3 linked regions of the Saccharomyces cerevisiae S288C genome follow. The protein of the gene in region 3 binds, or shares a complex with, the protein of the main gene of each other region. Each region holds a gene or a part of one and is shown on either strand. Other genes may lie near its edges. A codon is read from its position in the direction of its gene.

What was found. The genes of interacting proteins can lie anywhere in the genome.
Region 1: the proteins of PRI2 (region 3) and POL1 are in contact, whole or in part, in a cryo-EM structure (PDB 8FOD), measured with the Saccharomyces cerevisiae proteins. Residues at the interface, in NP_012879.1 of Saccharomyces cerevisiae: Thr71 (codon at 4,140), Leu72 (codon at 4,137), Glu73 (codon at 4,134), Arg140 (codon at 3,933), Ser141 (codon at 3,930), Lys142 (codon at 3,927), Glu143 (codon at 3,924), Ile272 (codon at 3,537), Tyr275 (codon at 3,528), Gln276 (codon at 3,525), Arg280 (codon at 3,513), Asp285 (codon at 3,498), Arg286 (codon at 3,495), His349 (codon at 3,306), Arg351 (codon at 3,300), Tyr352 (codon at 3,297), Tyr353 (codon at 3,294), Arg355 (codon at 3,288), Glu389 (codon at 3,186), Lys390 (codon at 3,183), Lys393 (codon at 3,174), Glu394 (codon at 3,171), Tyr395 (codon at 3,168), Arg409 (codon at 3,126), Lys413 (codon at 3,114), Ser422 (codon at 3,087), Pro424 (codon at 3,081), Arg425 (codon at 3,078), Pro426 (codon at 3,075), Gly427 (codon at 3,072); in NP_014297.3 of Saccharomyces cerevisiae: Glu852 (codon at 4,357), Lys853 (codon at 4,354), Gly854 (codon at 4,351), Leu855 (codon at 4,348), His856 (codon at 4,345), Lys857 (codon at 4,342), Asn858 (codon at 4,339), Asp891 (codon at 4,240), Leu893 (codon at 4,234), Lys964 (codon at 4,021), Met968 (codon at 4,009), Asn972 (codon at 3,997), Arg975 (codon at 3,988), Met979 (codon at 3,976), Gln983 (codon at 3,964), Glu986 (codon at 3,955), Ser987 (codon at 3,952), Asn989 (codon at 3,946), Leu991 (codon at 3,940), Asp1003 (codon at 3,904), Pro1099 (codon at 3,616), Glu1100 (codon at 3,613), Leu1103 (codon at 3,604), Gln1104 (codon at 3,601), Tyr1107 (codon at 3,592), Glu1111 (codon at 3,580), Glu1227 (codon at 3,232), Glu1275 (codon at 3,088), Lys1365 (codon at 2,818), Asp1382 (codon at 2,767).
Region 2: the proteins of PRI2 (region 3) and PRI1 are in contact, whole or in part, in a cryo-EM structure (PDB 8FOC), measured with the Saccharomyces cerevisiae proteins. Residues at the interface, in NP_012879.1 of Saccharomyces cerevisiae: Gln194 (codon at 3,771), Gln197 (codon at 3,762), Thr198 (codon at 3,759), Ser200 (codon at 3,753), Ala201 (codon at 3,750), Phe205 (codon at 3,738), Pro228 (codon at 3,669), Phe229 (codon at 3,666), Glu230 (codon at 3,663), Ile233 (codon at 3,654), Val236 (codon at 3,645), Gly237 (codon at 3,642), Arg239 (codon at 3,636), Val241 (codon at 3,630), Phe242 (codon at 3,627), Leu243 (codon at 3,624), Lys244 (codon at 3,621), Asp245 (codon at 3,618), Gly246 (codon at 3,615), Tyr247 (codon at 3,612); in NP_012273.1 of Saccharomyces cerevisiae: Arg149 (codon at 2,397), Glu150 (codon at 2,400), Asp151 (codon at 2,403), Phe152 (codon at 2,406), Gly153 (codon at 2,409), Tyr154 (codon at 2,412), Arg175 (codon at 2,475), Leu179 (codon at 2,487), Gln183 (codon at 2,499), Asn186 (codon at 2,508), Val187 (codon at 2,511), Tyr190 (codon at 2,520), Arg195 (codon at 2,535), Lys206 (codon at 2,568), Pro208 (codon at 2,574), Tyr209 (codon at 2,577), His210 (codon at 2,580), Pro211 (codon at 2,583), Ala214 (codon at 2,592).

The regions. Positions count from the first base shown.
Region 1 is NC_001146.8:428,484-436,996, reverse strand, and holds POL1 (DNA-directed DNA polymerase alpha catalytic subunit POL1), read right to left. Parts: upstream 6,911-8,513; coding exon 2,504-6,910; downstream 1-2,503. Other genes in the region: AVT4 (Avt4p), read right to left, coding at 1-1,998; MET4 (Met4p), read right to left, coding at 7,244-8,513. UniProt on the Saccharomyces cerevisiae protein: Catalytic component of DNA polymerase alpha, which in complex with DNA primase (DNA polymerase alpha:primase) constitutes a replicative polymerase. POL1 has a role in promoting telomere replication during interaction with CDC13.
Region 2 is NC_001141.2:370,574-376,258, reverse strand, and holds PRI1 (DNA primase subunit PRI1), read left to right. Parts: upstream 1-1,952; coding exon 1,953-3,182; downstream 3,183-5,685. Other genes in the region: MIND complex subunit DSN1, read right to left, coding at 1-828; U2 snRNP complex subunit MSL1, read right to left, coding at 1,399-1,734; EGH1 (hydrolase), read right to left, coding at 3,261-5,555. UniProt on the Saccharomyces cerevisiae protein: DNA primase is the polymerase that synthesizes small RNA primers for the Okazaki fragments made during discontinuous DNA replication. In a complex with DNA polymerase alpha (DNA polymerase alpha:primase) constitutes a replicative polymerase.
Region 3 is NC_001143.9:351,469-357,842, reverse strand, and holds PRI2 (DNA primase subunit PRI2), read right to left. Parts: upstream 4,351-6,374; coding exon 2,764-4,350; downstream 1-2,763. Other genes in the region: PHD1 (Phd1p), read right to left, coding at 1-1,095; MMO1 (Mmo1p), read right to left, coding at 1,201-1,521; DCW1 (putative mannan endo-1,6-alpha-mannosidase), read left to right, coding at 5,219-6,374. UniProt on the Saccharomyces cerevisiae protein: DNA primase is the polymerase that synthesizes small RNA primers for the Okazaki fragments made during discontinuous DNA replication. In a complex with DNA polymerase alpha (DNA polymerase alpha:primase) constitutes a replicative polymerase.

The DNA.
Region 1 (8,513 bases), on a different chromosome or scaffold from region 3:
TGGGTATATATATACCAAAGGAATACAGGCGAGGGATCCTATAACTGAAACGAACTTGTCTAAATTATCAGACCCAAAGTAAGCAATTGATACAACAATGATTACGATTATAGAACGAATAAAGTTCTTCAGCCATTTAATTTTCCAGTTCAGCTTTCCTGAATTAGGACGTAATTCGACTCTTGTTGTTAGATCATCGTGCTTGACATATATTTTAGTGAACTTTGGAAAAAACTTATTTTCAATAATTTTAATAGCTGGAAACAACTGCAAAGGTGTGGACAACATAATTGCGATGGAATAGAACAGCTGGATTAAGTTTACAAAAATGTTACTTTGAGGTAAGTTCAACAGTATAACCGTTTGAACATTTGAGCCGTATGCCAAATATCCCAATGTAGCTATGGAAATGAAAAGTATGGTTGCCGTTAGAATCACCAAAGCAAGTACTAAAGGAAATTTTTCAGGATTTCTCATTGAGTCTTGAACAGGAATAATTAACCCGATTCCTTCGAAAGCAAATATTGCCGTCCCGATAAACAGCGTCCAACGGTCTGCATTTAAGCCATAGACGACACCCATTGCTGGGGTCCCCATCAGGTCAAAAAACAACCTTTTGGCTGTAAAAATAATGACAATGACTAAACCAGCCATGATGAAAAAATTTGCTAGTAAAGATGGTAGTGACAATTTCGAAATGTTTCTAATAAACGAAAGTGGAATAAAAATGATCGTTTGAAAGACCATCAGGTAAGATAAAGGTAGGACGCCCACATGGAATACGTTATCAAGAAAAGCTTGTAAATTTTTTGCAGTAAATATCATATAAGCTCCAGAGAATCCAACTTGAGTTATTACTAGGGAGAAAAGAATTATTATTCTCATCCAAGGTCCATACAGTTTTAAACCAATATCACCAAAGGAGGATACACCGCATGAAGATTTGGCCTGCACCAATATGTAGTAACACCAGTATGAATAAATTCCAAAAAAGGCCAGCATACTTACTGAGAAAAACAAACCACCATTATGAAAGGCATTAGGTAAAAATAAAACGCCAGTTCCAATGAAAGATTTAAGCAATATCAAAAAAACCTTCTTTGTCGAAGTCGTACCTTTGGCTGAAGGTAATACTTTCATATGGTCAGGCCGAGACAGCAATGCACTCCTTTCATCTTCTCCGCGTATCATCATGTTTGAGCTATCAGGGATAAAATCATCCTCGAAGGATTCACCAGCAAAATGTCCAAACACGTATAGAAATTCCAAAAAGTTTCTTGTTAAAAAGGGGACCTTATCGATATCTTGGTTAGAAGATGGAGATGACTGGTTAATCGAATCGCTTTCATGCGAAGTGAAGTCTGAGCTAGCGGAATCATTTAATTGATGTTCTTGCCTTTTTTTGTTGACAATAAATTCCCTTCTGAAGCCACCGGGGACATTTAAACCACTTGCTGATGACAATTTAGTATGGTGCTCAATTTTAGGTGTTACATTTTCCATGGACCGAGGGCGTCTGAGCCGTTTAGGATCCTCTGCTTTAACCAACTTGTAAATATCATGCGTTATGTCGCCTCCAGCGCTACTCAGGTTAGTCTCATCGTCATCACTATCAACATTTGCTGCAGCTATGGTACTTGCTGAAGAATTCTTAGTCGGATTAACCCTAGGGATTGCTTCATTTCCATGAGAGACGGAACTTCTTTTGCTACTGTTCAAGTAGTTAAGCCGTACACTGTTTATAATCTCATCTCTGTGGGGATCCTCCAGAGTCTGAAAATTGGGAGAAGACATATCCACAAATACTCTAGAATCAACGCTTCGACATATATCCCTCGGCGTTAAGGTAGACATAGAATACTTCCTACTATAAAATGGGTTTGAATTGAGAACTGTTGATTGAGCCCTTCTGGGAATTTTCATATTATTGGAAGGATGCCTTAAATTTCCGTTTCTTCGGATCCCAAGGTGCTCACCATCTCCATTGTTAGTGACCATTGATGATGTGTTCTAGGATATTGTTATGTTGATTCCAGATTATGAATGACGTTGAAATGTGTTTTAGAGGAGGAATGATGAGTGCCTTTGAACCTAAGGAATCAGATGGCTAAAAATGCTATGTCACCTCGAAAGCAAGAGCAGATCAAGGTAAATGATATCCAACTATATTGTGGGTATTGCTTTTATCAAACTGGCTTATGACAGTGCTTCACAAGATTTAAGCATTCTATTTCATTGATGAAGCTGTTCGCTTATCTGATCTTGCTGATAAGGCGAATCTTAATGCATGGGTTTATTAAAGGATGATGCATGTGAGAACTGATCACCAGAGCCGAAAAAACATTCTCAGAATATCGCTGAAAACCTTCAATAATAAAAGCTTCCTAGCGCTCCTTCCGATGTCTGTACATTAGGTATCTAGTAGGATGCGTATGTACAGTTGTATTCTTTTCTTACTATATAGAATATTCATGAGATCACACAACACATACAAAATACTTACCTAATTTAGCATGAAATCAAATATGCTAGTCATATCAACGTAGCGACGTCCACAATCGTTCAAATATTTTTGAACAACGCTCCGGCCGGTTTCCATTAGTTCTCTGTTTTGTTCTGTTAAAGCCTTAATAGATGATTCTGTCAGCTGTTCCTTGGGGTAGTCGAGATCATCGGGTAGATATATTGGCTTCAATTCTTGCTTTTTATTTTTTTCACAATCGAATAAAGAATCGAAATATAAAAGTTGATTGTACAATTGCTTGTCACTGTATTTGTATCTCATGACACCCGTGCAGCCGTCATTCAAACAACGCTTACCAAAAACGGAGACTTGTCTTGTAACTATACCGCATGTGCTGTCATCACACTGTAACCACCCTGCGTAATATAAGGAAATGTGTGCCCTTATAGAATGCTCTATTTGGCTAGTTAATTGAAGAGGAGTAAAAAGTTGCTCACAATGCTTGCACTGTAAACCATTATATGACACGCGATAGTAATTTGAAGATACAATACCACCAAATGGAAACCTTTTATCGCATGATGGGCAACTTAATTCTAATGTTACAGTATCCTTAAACCTTTCAACGTCTGTAATTGTTGTTTCTAAGGGTTGCAAATTATTAATATCTTCTCCATTGTTATTACCGCCCTCTCTTCTAAAATACTTTTTACTATCTAAACCAAGCGCTTCACTCAAACGCACCACGTTGAAGCTATCAATTCTTTCTAACAACCTTTCTACCGGCGCGAATATTTGTTTCTCGAGATAATATTGTGGATCAGGTATCAAATTGTTACTTTTAATCATTACCTCATTCAATGCATGGGCACGTTCAGCCACAGAAAGAGCCGGCGTATCCGCTGCATTGTCTATTTCATCCTGCTTTGTGATCACAAAAGTGATGACAGAGCCAGCTTTAACAACTCTACCAGCCTTACGCATTCTTAGAGCTACTTGGACTGCAGGCATGTTTTTACCACCTGGGTAGGCCTTGGGATCTTTTGAAAGCTTCATATTGATCTTATATTTATCAATTCTAATGTTATTGGTTTCCACTTTTATTCTGATGTCTTCTAAGTAATCATACACTTCTTGCAATGCTTCTTCTGGGTCCTTATCTGACAGGATGGTGTTTAAAACATGTATAGAAACGTCCCTCGAAAGTGGACAAAATTCACGACGCTTCATGTCCAACCCTTTAACTTCTAGAACAGTAGTTCCATTACCATTTTTGTCCAAATTTACAGTCAAAGCAGCGTACTTTTTCTTGGCATGTAATAGTAACTTCTTAAAAACATTATCAATATCAATCTCCAATAATCTATAGCGCTCATTTACTAGCCTTTTAAATCCCAAGCCAATTTTAATTGCATCCGCATAATTATCACAACCGGTATCTATCATGACCGAATCTGTATCACCATAAACTACAAGAAGATTCATACTTTCAGCTAGTTGTCTTGTATTCATTAAAATCTCACGACCCTTATTAGTGACTAACATGGCGAGCGGCTTTGCGTAAAATCTACTGTTAACATAACCCAAACAACCATACATAGAATTGGCAGTCAATTTTAGAGCTTGTTGACGAATATCACATTGAACTCGCTTATGGGGATCAGTTTCAGTTTTCATCACCTTCTTAACTTCACGTCGACGATCCACCAGATTAGCTAATAACCTTGGTAAAACACCCTGATCCACCTCTGAAGGAGGTACGCTTGGTAACTCATCGATATCTTCCTTATTTCTATCAACGGTGGTAAAACATATATTAAATTCCTGGATAATAGATGGATACAAAGAATTAAAGTCCATGACTAAAACGTAATTCTTATGAAGACCTTTCTCAGGTTCAAAAACTAAACCACCCTGATATTTTGCCTTTTTAGAATTAACTGGTGCATCAGCATTTTCTTCATTTTGTCTTTGTTTCTGAGCTCTACTTCTATTGCCTTCTTTGTCAGGAACAATAAAACCATTTCTTGAAAATTCATGTAGTAAGATATACTCATTTCTACCAGCTCTTGTACCGCCTAGCGTTTGGGCCCATGCATTACCAGCCAAATTTGTCAACTGTTTAGTCAAGGTTAATAATTGAATTCTATAAGACACCTCAGCAGAAATCATACAATTAGTAATATTCTCTTGTAGGGCCATTGTCATACTATTTACATCATTTTGGTATTGTGGATTTTGATAATCAATATCTAACGGCTTATGCTCCTTTTCACATGTAACTTGATACATCTCTGAAAGATCCCAACTTTGACATTTGGGTGTTAATGATTGACCCATTTCATTGGCGATATCACATATCAGCCTACCAGAGCAAATGTCACTAATAAAAAAATGGTTCATATTCGAATTTCCTCTACCGAATTTTTCAGGCCAAGTCCTTCTTAAACGACGGCCAATAGAGCTGAACGTTGGAATGTTGAGATCATGCATTCTATGAGCTAAAACATCTAAGTAGACATTTTGCAAACGATGGCCTATGATAACATCTGGGTCTTCCACTTTTAACATAGCACAAAAACAAGATAGCATGGCCTTTTCGTTGTTGAACAACCTGACTCTACCGGGTAGTTTCTGTTTTGCCAGTGCAGCTAAACCTAATGGGAAACTAGTTGACTGAGGCGGCCTTACTAAAGTACACAAGTCGTCTGGTTTTATATTTTCAGGTATCGGTGAATCCAACGAGATATTTCTATATGCTGATAACGTTATCGAAACAATCTCTTGCTTATTTTCCTTGGGATTCATTAACGTCTGAATCGATAAAGATAGACATCTCAGATTAGGCATTGTCTTTGTTGTAGTAGGCGTGATATTCTGAGGCTTATCTACCGAAACTTCAACCGCACAGTGAGAAGCATTACGAATTGAATTGAAATCTGCTCCCTTTATATCTAACCAGCATGGTCCCATAATCCTATTTTGAATAACAAAACTTTCAAAAATATTGGAATTCCCACCAAAAACATGATAAAAGGTATCGCTAGATAAATCCGATGGAATGGTGTCTCGACTGGACTTCGGTGTTTGGTATGGAAGTAAGACTTTCAAATAATCACTTTCAGATGGAATGTCAGGAAGCTCAAACGAATATTTCATTTTTTGAGGTTTAGCGCGGATATTATCCAGTCCATATTTATCCATCAGTAACGGAATTATTTCCTCGTGTATATCGGTAGGTGTTTTACCCTCTCTTGGAAGGAAAAATAGCTCTCTACAGAGACCGTTGATTTGAACCATGGCTGACACACAATTATCATCCTTTAGTTTAACCTTACCAAATAAAATCAAAGTGTTGTTCACTTCACAGTAATCCAACCAAAACATTTGGAAAGTATCAGTTTCCGGATCTACCACATCTTCCTTTTTGACATTAACCGCAAGTGTAGCAACATCGGTGTTGCTCTGCAAAGATTTACTTGGAGTTAGTCCTTTAATACCGATTGGCGTTCCGGGTGCTGTGACAAACGGTGAAGTTGAAGGGTTACTTCTTGAGTCTATATTCACGCGTCTAGTTGTTGTCACACTTCTCATAGTTCTTCTTTTCAGAATAATATCTTCATCACTATCTTCATCATCTTCTTCATCAGCCAAACTTTGAGCGGATGGTGGATTTGCTAGTAACGTATCTTGAAGTACATTCTGTCTCTTTGTGGCTACTACTGGGGAATTTTCCACATCATCCAATAAATCCTGTACATCATTTGCGTAGCGCAGTTTCCTGCTTTGTAATTTTAACGGTGATGATTCGATTTCTAAATATTTATCAGTACTTGAATCTGGATCAATCTTGACTTTTTTAGAAATACCGGCATCATGACTTGACTCATCGTTTCCGTTAACTCTCTTTATTGACGATTTAAATTCACTAGTCGGCGAAGAATTTAAATTTTCCCTTAATTTGGATGGCAGTAAAATATTGGGTTTTTCTACTTCACCAGATTCAAACTCACCAAGAATGTCATCAAAATTATCGATGGGGATACTTTTTTTTTGGGATTTTTTTGCATGTGCTAGCAGTGTTGATTTGGAATGTTGAGTTCGCAGCATATCTGTAATCTGGTGGTCTTTCTCCCTTTTTATATTCTTCTTCCTTTTAGAATCCTTGCTAGCAAGGTTTCCAGTGTCTTCATCACTTGAACTGTTATCAACTTCCCTCCAATCTTCTTCGACACCACGATCGACGTAGCCTACACCATCGTCATCTACAACAAAATCGTCATGCAGCAATTCCTGGCGCTTTCTGGCCCTGTATTCTTTTTCGTCGATTTCGTCGTATATTCTGTCACCATCTGATTCGTCACCTTCGTAATCATCGATGGATGTACCATTTCGAGCGGCTTGCAGCTTTCTCAATTTTTCTAATTTTTCACTTTTAGAAGACATTTTCCACTGTTTATTTTATGCCTTGATACTATTTGGTTTCTAATAGCAGAGTGAAGACAGTTTTTTTTCTCGTGAGTCTGAATTGGTATGTGTTCGTTGTCTAGACCAAGAAGATATATATCATCCAATGAGTAAAGAATTTAATTCAGTAAAATTGGATACACGCGACGCGTTTTACTTATAGGCTAACAAAAAAATTTTAACGCGTTTGAATAGATGTGTGATGAATGAAGAATAGAGATTGCAGGCAGTACAAGAAAAAAGTTATATTTCTTTAAGAAAAATGCACGTATATATATATATATATATAATTAAACTGTATAGTCTGTTATTTTATTCTTTCTGAACCTTCTCAAAAATTTGCTTCTTTAAGCTTTCAGCTTTTTTTATTCCTTCCGTTTCACCGCTACTCAGAACTAAATTCTTTAAAAGCTTGTTTTCCGTTTCTAACGTATGTATCCGTTTTTGTAAGGATGCTGCAATTTCGGTCAGTTCATGTATCGATGATTCTAACTCCTTTTCCTTTAGTTTTTTTTTTTGATGAGATTTTTTCGACTGTATCAATAAATCTTCATCGTCGTCCCCTAACTCTTTCTTGATCAGTTGCTTCTTTTCAAAGCCGTGTAAATCTGCATCGTCATATTCATCGTCTTCATTATCAGAATACTTGCGGTCGACGGGTACTTTTTTATTTTTCAAATCTCCGGAGTGTGATCTTTTTAAACTATTTTCCTTGTGATCAGAAGAACTTGCATTTAAAGTTGGCTCGGATCGTATCTTGGCAATTTCGTCTCCACGCGTCGTACTTGACTTAATAACAGCGTTATTATGATGGACATTATCGTTTCCATTGTTACCGTCACTCTCTCTTGATATTTTATGATCGTTTCGTGAAGGTTGTCGTTGATTGTGAATATTATTACTTTTTGGATGCTTTATGCCCAGTTCCAAAATGGAGCTTAGAAAAGAAGCCTCTGCTACTACACCGTGCTCATTGAACGAAGGCGACGTTGATAAGGTAGTTGGCGCAGCAGTTTCAGCCGGAGAGGGTGGTATTAAGACACTTAAAAGTTCGTTGATGTTTTTTAGAATGGGTGCCTCTTGACTGTCATTGGTGTTGATGTTTTTATTATTATTACTGTTATTTTCCCTAATCTTTTTTTGATGATGATACGCCATTATTGCGGCTATAGCATCTATTTGATCATTGTCAAATCCCGCGCTGATCAACGAGTTATATGCGCCGTTGGGCACGTTGACCCTCGGTAATAGAGTTACTAAAACAGAGGTTGGTATAATTGAATAGTCAGGAACAGTTATATTGGGGGCTTTGTTGGAGCTGTTATTATCGCTGTTACTATCGACTTTGCTTTCCGAATGTTTTCGTTGTTGTGAAGAGGAATTTTGAGCAGAAGTGACATTGCTTAGGGGGGAGGAGCGGTTCGGTGTGTGTGTTGTCCTATGTAGTAGATTTGATAGCGCATCCACTCCATTGTCACCGGTAGTATTGTTCTCAGTTGATGTAATGTCAACATTTGTGAAGCCGCCATGGTCGATTGATGTCATATTAGTTGCGTCAGCGGGAAACTGAGAAGGGCTTCCC
Region 2 (5,685 bases), on a different chromosome or scaffold from region 3:
GGTGTAAAAATCCTCTTCAGGAATATCCTTGTGCGGAGATATAATAGTGCTTCCCCCATTAGCTTGAGATGCTAACATAGACAATCTTCTACCTCTCTGACTTCCGATTGATTTTTTCCTTTCCCTTGTTCGTTGAATGTAGTGTGGTTGCTGAAGTTGTTGTTGATGGAATGATCCGTACGGAAACAATTGCGGAGCTGGCAGCAATTGTTGTGATGAAGATATATTTTGGGGAGTAGTCATATCGGGACCGCCTGCAGCAGTGGGTTGCGAATAAAAGGGCTGTAATGAGGAGTTGGGCATAATCGAATGCATTGGTGATCCAGGATATGGTATCATTGCAGGAGTTGGTGCATTCATCGGATGGTAGTAATAGTAATAAGGCATATATGGAGCGGGCATTGCACTTGCATTAACATTCGCAGTCGCATTTGCAGTCGCATTTGCAGTCGCATTTGCAGTCGCATCTCCACTATGATTGTCGTCAGCAATTGGCGCAGAAGAATTGAAATTCTCCACTCTCTTGGCCTTTTTTATATCTTGCAGGTTATCCAGCCTTTCGCCCAGAGTAGGGAACCCCTGGATATGTTTATTCTTGTGTCGTTTGAATTTCAAATCGGGGCTCAAATTCGACACGGATTGTTTATTCTCAAAATATTCGGTCTCCTCCTCATCTTTCTGGGTGGGCTCGTTGCTTTGTAGAGTAGCCTTGGAGTCGGATTCCAATATTGGGATAGTTTCCATCCGCAATGGGTATACTTGTTTGTGTGTTCTTTGATGCAGCATCGGCGGCGTACCGGAGACCGTTTGTGTGGGTTCCAGACTCATCCTCTACCTAAATAAAGAAAAATTTGTGTGTGGTACAATAGAAGAGGCCCGGTTTCACAACTCTGCCTGGTACTTTGTGCTTTTATCAATTGGCGGTTCTTTTGATGTTTATTTTGATTTGTTTATCATTTGTGAATTTTTGCTTTTACTAGAAATATATATCATTTTAAACGAAGCCACATATAAACGCTGAACTACACTGTAATTCATCATATAGTAAGCTGTCTTATATACTAAATTATCACTTCCAAAATGTAATAAACGTCTTTTGGCAATGGGGTACTCTGTGGTTTGCCCTTTGTATTATTTAAGCAATTGAAGTGAGGAATAAGCGGCCGTTCTGCAGTATGTCTTTTCGGGAGACTCTTTCTGCTACAGATTTTTGTAGATTCTATATCTACTCCATATTGATACATGCCTTGATATTATTTGTCCGTTGACGACCATCTATAACGCCGGGTTGTTTGGATATAAACATTTTGGTTTGGTTCTGCGCTCTTGACTTTGATGTGCCCCTATGGCAGCTCTTCTCGGTATATACGTGCTGCTATGAATAGAGCGTTAAGCCAGTCATAGTGTTTTAGTTTCACTCTTGCTGAACTCAACTTTCAAAGGCTTACCAAAGAATCGCTCGCCGTTTAATGAAATCTGGGCCAGACTGGCCTGGTCGATGGTTCTCATGGTGATAAAGGCTTGGCCCCGCTGTTTCTTGAAATTCATGCTAACCTTCAGTACCTCTCCAAACGTAGCAAAGAGCAAAAAAAGGTTTACTCGCAGTCGTTGCATATTAATTTTTTCATTAAGCTGGCTCACGTACAGCGTATTTTTAGCTTCCGTTACTGGTTCAGCCACAGTGTGATGAGTATCGCGATCAATCCTCTGCTTTTTCCTTGCTGGTTCAACCATTACTATATCCTACGTGTGAATGATGCGTGAGTTTCGAAACAGTTGCTCGGTCAGTGCCCTTTGCCACTTTTACCTATTGTTTTCTTTCAGTTGAAAAGTTTCATAACGCCAAAAAGATAAAAAATTAATCAAAAATACTTTGAAGCTGAAGAGAAAAGCGTGCCATAATACTAGCAAAAATTAGTTTTAGCAACTCAAAAAACTGTTTTATAAACATCATGACCAATTCAGTAAAGACTAATGGGCCAAGCTCCTCAGACATGGAGTACTACTATAAGTCGCTCTATCCATTCAAACACATTTTCAACTGGCTGAATCATTCGCCCAAACCTTCTAGGGATATGATTAACAGAGAATTCGCTATGGCGTTCAGGTCAGGTGCTTACAAAAGGTATAATTCTTTTAACTCTGTGCAAGATTTCAAAGCACAAATAGAAAAAGCCAACCCAGACAGATTTGAAATCGGTGCCATATATAACAAACCGCCAAGAGAACGTGATACTCTATTAAAAAGCGAATTGAAAGCTTTAGAGAAGGAGTTGGTGTTTGATATTGATATGGATGATTACGATGCCTTCAGAACGTGTTGCTCCGGAGCCCAAGTTTGCTCTAAGTGCTGGAAATTTATATCTTTGGCAATGAAAATTACGAACACGGCCCTAAGAGAGGATTTTGGTTATAAGGACTTCATCTGGGTATTTTCAGGTAGACGTGGTGCTCATTGTTGGGTAAGCGACAAACGGGCACGGGCTTTGACGGATGTACAACGAAGAAACGTTTTAGATTATGTCAACGTGATTAGAGACAGAAATACTGACAAGCGATTGGCTTTGAAGAGGCCTTATCACCCTCATCTTGCTCGTTCTTTGGAGCAATTGAAACCTTTCTTTGTCAGCATTATGCTCGAAGAGCAAAATCCTTGGGAAGATGACCAACATGCTATCCAAACTTTATTGCCTGCATTATATGATAAACAATTGATTGATTCATTAAAGAAGTATTGGCTGGACAATCCAAGGAGGTCAAGCAAAGAGAAGTGGAATGATATAGATCAGATAGCTACATCGCTCTTCAAAGGCCCCAAGCAAGACTCTCACATAATTAAGTTACGTGAATGTAAGGAAGATCTCGTATTGATGACTCTTTATCCGAAGCTGGATGTGGAAGTTACAAAGCAAACAATTCATTTGTTAAAGGCCCCTTTTTGTATTCATCCTGCTACGGGGAATGTCTGTGTGCCTATTGATGAATCCTTTGCACCTGAAAAAGCACCTAAGCTAATTGATCTTCAAACAGAAATGGAGAAAAATAATGATGTTTCATTAACAGCTTTACAACCTTTTATCAATCAGTTCCAAGCATATGTGAGTTCTCTTTTGAAAAATGAACTGGGTTCAGTGAAAAGAGAACGTGAAGATGATGATGAACCGGCTTCTTTAGATTTCTGATGGTGAAATCTTTTTGTAACAATAAAAAGGGTGTATATATATATATATGACTACTATAGCTTTTGGTTCAATTTTTGTTTAGCTGATAACGCATTCCGCTGGTAAGTCATTCGAAGTGTCACTTCCAGGGGTGTTGGGCCTTGACTTCGATTTTGCGCAAATTTCAATGAACTGATGGCCAGGCTCGTGAAACCATTCAAGAACCTGGTAGTCAGTGTTATAGGTATAATGACCTGATGATGAACGAATTGACAACCGGCTTGGTGTAAAATGGTGCCGTGGTATAAAAATATATGTAGGGACAGTTATCTGTTCAGGTGTCGTTTTACCAACTAATTTCAAAAGGTAGGATTTATTACATAAGTTAAACTCAGCAAACTCAAATCTTCCGTGAATTTGTATGGGGAATGGTCTCATTATAGCATCAAGAGCTCTGAACCCTGACAAGTCGCTCTTTAAAGTGCACGAGGGACTATCCAAATCTAAATGATTATCTGGTTTTATGAAACTTGGTGGTTGTGAAGAACCCGATTTAGATGTAGAAGTGGATACCGAAGCCACAGTAGAGGCTGGAGATGGCTCAGGAGTAGGAGTTTTTGCTCGGGTATCGTGATAGAGTGGTTTGTCATCCGGGGACCAAATCGAAAAATCTTCATTGTTCCAATTGTCACCCCATATATGTGAATTAATACTGCAATAACACCATAAGGTGTACGAAAGATTACTTCCTTCTAATGCAAATCCAAGAGCATCCAATGCAGCGGTCTGTGAAGAATAGTCATTTGTAATATATGCTTTCTTGTCGTCCATGTCAAATGGAATACCAATTTCGGTGAAGAATACAGGTACTTTTTTTCCAAGCATGGATTTAGCGTCCTTTTGCATTTCTGATAATTGCTTCCTAATGCATTTCCGTATATTGTTTTCGCCAAGCACTACAGCAAAGGCAGGATTTGAGTATTTTTTGTTTACTAGTCCATAGGTGTCTATGCCAATTCGTTTATTCCATGTCTTATACATTAGTGTCATACCATCATAAAAATGACATGCACAAATCGTCCTATTGTCCAATATTTTAGAATTTTGTAAATTGGGTGGTGGCTTCATTACCGGCGGTTGGATTATAATAAACAATTCTTGATCGAATTCCCTAAACTTGTTATAAATTCCAGTGTAATAGTCAACAAAATGATTGTTTATAAATACCGTTGCATCAGGTTGGCTAAAGTAATTTGGTTTGAGTAAAACAGGGCGTTTACCATTCTGAATCTCCCAAACACCATGGAGTTTCCAAATGCAAGTGTCTGGTTTCCATTCAGGGTTCCTTTCCCAATTATACTTCGCATCTATCGCATCTCTTTCCTCTGCACTCAGCCAAGCTTTTTTGCCTTTGGGATTGATTGTGCACGGTTTTCCCTTAGAAAATCCAAAAAATGTCCTTTTATATTGATCTATTGTGCACTCAATACCTTCACCCAGCATAAAGCTTTGAAATGCCGTTGGCGTTTTGCCCAATTTCAAATTTCTCTCTTTCGGAATCACATCGAGATTTGTTTCACCAATGTAACCACAGTTTGGCTCGTTCATAGACTCTAATCCAATAATGCAGTTGCTCTCAAACAACTCAGGAGCCTTTTCTTTAATTCTTGCGCACAGTGTCATGATTGCATCATTAAACCTTCCTTGCAAGTAATCCTGTATGTTTTCTCCATTAATTGTGCACTTAGGAGCATATTGTTTCCCACCAAAGAATAACGTAAACATTGTTTGACACGCCAGTTTGAAGTAGTTTGTAGGCCAAACCATCTTAGGGTAGGACTCTTCATCTTTGCCAACTTCCCTGCCCGTTTTGGGGTCAATATAATAATTATGTAAGATTGCAGCATCGGTGGCCAGGAAGTTTGCAGGTTGAAACCCTGCACAGTATAAGGTCCATAGCGGTGCTCCAGATCCACCGCTAAACCTAGACCAGACGTCTTGGTGAGGGTCCAAATAAATGTACATACCTTGTTGTACGCTGTTAATCCTGGTTAGTACCTCGACGATATAATCCATATAGTCAAAATCGTACTGTCCTGGACCAGCATGTTCAAGAGATTCCCAGGTGAAGGGTAAACGAATGGTATTGTAACCCAGTGATTTCAATCTGATGATATGCTGTTCGATATCATCAAGAACTAAGGGGTGATTGATGAAACTGACTTTATCAGCATCCTCGAAAAACGTGTCATTTTCTATGGGAGCGTGGGTGGATAGGAATGGCTTTGCAGGGATTTTAACTGACGGATCCAAATTGACACCACGCAATTGGATCTCGTTGCCATCTTTATCGCAAAACTGACCGTCTGCAGAAATGTGTATTTTGGCAGGCATATGATCTGTTCTTATTAAATTCAAACAATTTAGGTACGAAAGAAAAAGAAATAAATAAATAAAAAAAGAGAAGAAAGGTTAAGAAAATAACTGTCAGTAGAATTATTGCGAAATATAGAATTAATATTAA
Region 3 (6,374 bases):
TAATTCATTTTTTGCTCTACTTGTTTGGGCCTCAGTATCGATATGGTTGATTTTTAAGTGGGGCAGTTCGCCAGCACCCTGAGTAGATGCTCCATTCGATAAAGCATCAATACTCTTCGGCTTAATTTCAGTAGCAATTTCGTGTTTATTATCAGATGGTTCTTGCTTGATGGGGGCAGGGCTAGATTTGGGGGTCAAAGATGCCTTGTTGCTGGGCTTTCTGGCATCAACAATGGATTCTATATCTTTGACGAAGAGCGGGTACAGATGATCTAGAATCTGTTCACGTTGAGCCAGGATATAAGCCCTTTCGAAAGGAATCCAAACACCCTTGAGGTGCATGGAGCCAATCTTCACGACTTCCCTAACCTTCTCGGATCTTAATATTCCATCCCTTCTCCCCCTTGTCATCTTCGTGACATTCAACAACTTGGTGCCGTTAATCATGTTGTTGTCAGCCCTACGCACGACTGATATACCGTTCGCCTCTACTTGGTAGCAGATAGTATTCTCATCTTCCCACATCGTAGTTATAACGCGTGGTTTGAGAACTGACGTTGAACTGACGCCAGGTGTTCTTGTTGTTGCTGTCACTGTTGGTGACGCTGCTGCTATTGATTTAAGGTTATTTGGACGTGCGACGCTAGTATCATTAGTGTTTTGAATGATTGGAGGCAACTCTGTGTGAGGATGTAAGGTGTTCAAGAATGATCCATCAAATTGAACCTCTGGAGGCATCACTGCCATCACAGGGAAAGAAGATGGTTGGAAATTGCTGTTGGGAATGGTGGCATAAGGAAGTACAGCTTGTTGATATGGAGATTGTGGTTGTTGTGGATATGTGGGAAAAGGCACAGCATAATAGCGACAATAATACCCTGATTTAGCCTGAGTTGGCGACGTAGCTAATTGGGCAACATTAGCATATGCGTTTGGAGTTTCGCGTTGGACGAATGGAAGATTGATTGTACTCTGGTGTGATAGCTCGTTAAACGAAGGAAGGGTATTGTCGTAACTTCTGGTGGGTGTTATTGCGGCGTTAGATTGAGTGTTCACCAGGGGGTAATGTAGCCTCATTTCAGGAACATGGTACATATTTTCTGCTTAATGAATTATGAATTCCAGCAAAGAAAAAGAAGTAATGGTCTTATTAAAGTATAATGTCAAGAAGAAGAAGTTGAAAAGAAGAGAACCACAAAGTTATAGGCTGGGAACTGAGGGGAGATATGTAAGGTGGTGAGAAACACACAATAGAACGAGAGCGACTGCTTGATTGATTTGATGTATTGTTCGAGCTGTAGAGTTCTTCCTATATGGAAACAAAAAAAAAAGGAAAAATGGGGAGGGGTTTTTAATGAGTATGGCCGCCTTCTTTTGCAAACGAAAGAGGGAAAAAAAAGTAGGGAACTGTACGAAAGGGAAATTAATTTTATATGCAGAGAGATGCATCCATATATATATAATTCTGGCTCTCCTTTCTGACATCCTCGCACTCGAAAACGTCATAATTACGTAACCCATTCTGAGCTTGATTTTGCCTACGCTACCTGGGCCACAGGCGTTTCCGTAACTTGAAACAGGAACAGTTAAGAAAACGTCGTATGTGCAAGAATTATGTTTCCACACTCTTACATAATGGCCTGTCAAGAATAATACCCGTTTGCATGAAAACTAAATATCGAAATAAAAAAACAAAAGAAGAAAATTGGTCTCGCAGAAAAAAGCCCGTAGACCGCAGCGTTGCATTCTTCCCTTTTACCTAATATGAAGTTATCGTTCATTCCGCAACATTCTAACTTATTCCCGTGAGGGGTGGGCGTGCGATTGGAATTAGTCTTTACAATTTGTAAGCTCTACAGCAACTTATGGGTGGGCACGCACTGTCCCTAATATTTATCATCGCATCGTGCAAATCCGTCTACGCAGTATCTAACTTCGAGTGGGCTGATTTTGCATGTAACGTTATTGTGGCTGCTTTTTTAGTCTTCGAAAGAGCCGACCGCGTTTATCCTAGACGAAGGGGTGCCGTTTTAGGTCCACGGAAAGATAAAGACGATATCCATCAATAATATCGCACGAAGTCTAATCAGGGAGCGGTGCAAAATAGTCTTCTATACTTTTTAGTCACAGAATACCTGCATAAGGAAATATTAGATCTTCCCGGTTTTTTACTTCCGCTCTTGAAAACCGGATCCTCGAGGTTGCATCACGGCATTACCAAATCGGTGAGATACTGTCCCTCCCATGCGTTTTAAAGGCCAGCCACGTATCCAGAAAACGCAGCACCTGCATTTTTTGGTGGCGGAGGCTATGCTGGAAAAGGTAGTTCTTCCACTGCAGTAACTTCTGCCACAGTAAATTGGCGTGGATAGGCCCTGCAACATATTGCAGGTTTAAACGGAAAGTGTCCCCGCTTGTAATGGAAGAAAACGGTAAATTTTAATGAAGTGTACAGGCATAAAAGACAGGCGGTTAGTTGTTCTGTGTTGCCTGTCACAGAGGAACAGCGCGATAGCTTGCAGCCACAAAATTATAAGGTTTCTCTGGCCAGCTATTAAAGTATGAAAAAATTCGGACAATATACATATCTCGGACGTTTTCGGAGCAGTGCAGTCACTGGTATTGTACAGCGTTTATCGTTTCTCTTTTTTTTTTTTTTTCTCACTAAAGAAAATTTTTGACCATACTTACAGTAGACTAAATTACGTATACTATTAATCCTTTTTAGTTATCTCTTCGCTTTTTTCCTTTTCCCTTTCTGCACTAATGATTACCATTATTGAATAGTTTTTCCTTTTCCAGCTTCTGCTGTTTCTTTTGCAGTTGCCTTGATCTTTCGAAGTATAGGTTAGGATGCGCGATATGCGTTTGCTCGCCAATTTCCAAATCCGCTGATGCAGAGTTGTGTGTCATTTCAAACACTTTAGTGCAAGCAATTGTGTATTCACCTTTCTGGCAGGAATCCAGAACACTGATGATCTGCGCTTGGGTCAACTTCATAGAGCGCAATTCTGCAGATAGTCTCTCGTGACTCCAATCACGGAAAGGGCATCCATGATAATCTCCGCGCCCAGGTCTGGGCTTGGAAAGGATAGTGTGACAGTCCCATGGTTTGTAGTTGATTCTGTTACCTTCAAGACCGTAATTATGCCTGAAGCTGTAACGGTATTCTTTATTGAACTTCTCCATTGTCATGTTCCCATTTCTTGTAAATGCCTCAGACCAAAATTTTAACGCTTCATCAGCGCTCAGGCCGATACCTTTCAAAAACAGACTCAGTTGTTGTCTCCCATAATACCTCAAATGATGGTTCTTTTTAAGACCCTCCATCAGGTTTTTGATACATAGCGGATAGTTTGAGCTAATCTCTTCAGACCAGACACTTTGCGCATTAATCTCATCATCTACGTTCTCACTGAATTGGTTTGCCTTTTGCTGGTTGAAATCCGCGATAGTGTACCCCGACGAAAGATGATTTAGAATTGGTAACAACCGGTCATCCTCATTCAGTCTTGGTAAGTACTGGTACGTTTTTATTAACTCCTGGTTCAATTTGCTAGCAAACTCATTAGAAAGTAAATTCAATTGCTGGAATTGTGGTAAATATGCGTACCCGTCCTTCAAAAACACTAAACGGTTTCCTACCAGTTCTATCACATTTTCGAAAGGTAATTTTATGAATTTTTCCTGTTGGAAATACTGTTTTCTTTGATGTTCCTCGTTTAAATTCAATTGGAACTGTAGAGACGCAGAAACTGTTTGATACAACTGATGAGATAATTCGGCCTTTTCTTCATTTGAGATAAACTGTAGTAAGGGTAAGTCCAATGATTGAACAAATTTTGTTTGATCGGTGGAGGTTAGCATGTTAAATCTAATTTTGAACAAAAACGTTTCAGCCCTGACGAATTTTTCCCGCAGTTCTTTTGAACGACAAAAGCACAATCTTAAAATGAAATGAGAGTAGTAATCCTTTTTTCTGTCTTCTAAACTCTCTGTGTTGAAAGGCAGTAGTTTTTGGAACTGCGGCTTGATAATGGTTTCAATTTCTTTGATCGATTTGTTTCTTGAAAGGCAAGATTCGATCTCTAACAGAATTTTGAGACGATCGATTGCCCAGATCTCAAATTGTTCCAACGTTATTTCTCCCTGTGGTGGTAAATCGTAAAATGATAATTTAGACTCATACAGCCTAGCGTAAAGTTTTTTCTCTTCTTCAGATGAACTTGAACTTAAGATGATCTGGTTAGCTGCATTTGTGTTGCCTACGTCCAATTCGCTTTTGACAATATCATCGTATGAACTAAAATTCTTCCTTGAGGCAATTCTTCTTTTTGACTGCCTGAACATTTCTTCTCCTTATTGTGCTTTACCTGCTGTCACTGGTTGCTCCACCTGGGTAGTTATCAGTCCTGTCAAAGTTGTGCAAATTGGAGAGATGTAGATAGTAAAAAATTTACTTTTGCAAAATCACAGGATTTAATATCGAGTTTTACGCGATTCCCCGCGACGCGTAATTTCAAATCAAGTTAACTATAAATGAGCAGGAAAAAGCAAATAGAGTGAGCAGCAGATATGTAAGGCAATATTGAAACAAGAAGAGACCTGTCGTATCACCTTTGGCCTGATAAAAACAGTGTTTCCATGTCTGTCTGTAGCAGCGGAAACAATCCTACGCCGTGCTTCTGGGCTCTTGATGATGTAAGATGTTCCGTTTCATGAACGCACTGGATCTCAGCTTATAACTGTTGGTTCAGAAAAATTCAATCATTTATTTAAAGAATGTACCGTACGATGAATATACGCTATAAATGCTTCCATATATGTATAAGTGTATCGTACTATATTCGTAGCGGTGTCCCGTCACCCGGTTTTGCACCCGTTCGAGGCGCGATTTAATTTCGTACATCCAGAAAGAAAACTGGCAGATGGAAATAAAGCTCGGATTTCATGATGATCATAGGTACTCTTTGTATAATGGGCTCATCTATTATATATTCACTGTTACTGTGTTGATACTCATATTTTATAAGCAGCTTAATAGGTGTGCGAACGGGAGGATTTTTGGTAAAAAGAGGCTTAAATTACAAGATACGAAAGGGTCAAAACGCTAGGGAAACCTTTCCAGGACATATAATAGTGGATACAACAAAATACACACCACTTTTTTTCTGAGCTTTCTTTCTTTTCAGTCTGTTTTAAAAACGAACACATAAAAATGCTAGTAAATAAAGTGATAGGGTTACTGGGTGTACTCTTCGCAACAAGATTTACAAATGCCGTCGAATTGGATCTAGACAACTACGAATCTTTGCAAAATGCTACTTCACTAATTGCCTACGGTTTAATGGATTATTACACTGGTAATCAGTATGGTAAGACGGTCGGTATGTTTTCAGATCCGTACTATTGGTGGGAAGCCGGTGGTGCCTGGGGCTGTATGCTAGATTACTGGTTTTTCATGGATAACGACACCTATAATGATGAAATTATAGCAGCAATGATACATCAAGCTGGTGATGATAATGACTATATTCCGCTAAATCAATCTACCACTGAAGGTAATGATGACCAAGCCTTTTGGGGTATTGCTGCTATGACTGCCGCGGAGAGAAACTTTACTAATCCTCCCGAGAATGAGCCTCAATGGCTATATTTAGCACAGGCTGTTTTCAATACCATGGCTTTGCGTTGGGATGCCGATTCCTGTGGTGGTGGTTTGAGGTGGCAAATTTTCGTTTGGAACTCTGGTTACGATTACAAGAACACCGTTTCTAACGGTGCCTTGTTTCACATAGCTGCAAGATTAGCAAGATATACAGGTAATCAAACATATGTTGACTGGGCCGAAAAAGTTTACGAGTGGATGGTCGGTGTGAACTTAATTTCTAATGGTACCTATAAGTATGTTTACGATGGTGTCAGCATTGATGATAATTGCACCAAAGTGACCTCATATCAATGGACATATAATCAAGGTTTGCTGTTGGCTGGCTCTGCCTACCTTTACAACTTTACGGGATCAGACCTCTGGCACACAAGAACCAAAGAGTTTTTGAACGCTTCCCAAGTGTTTTTCCATGATGGTATTGTGTATGAAGCTGCTTGTCAAGGTCCAAATTCTTGTAATACAGATCAACGTTCCTTCAAAGCCTATTTTGCCCGTTTCTTAGGTGTCACTGCACAACTAGTGCCAGAAACTAGGAACCAAATTATGTCTTGGTTGAATACATCTGCCATTGCGGCCGCGAAATCATGTTCTGGAGGTACTGATGGTCATACCTGTGGATTGAATTGGTTCAATGGGACTTGGGATGGTATGTATGGTCTAGGTGAACAAATGTCCGCCTTAGAAGTAATGGTCAACACGAGGG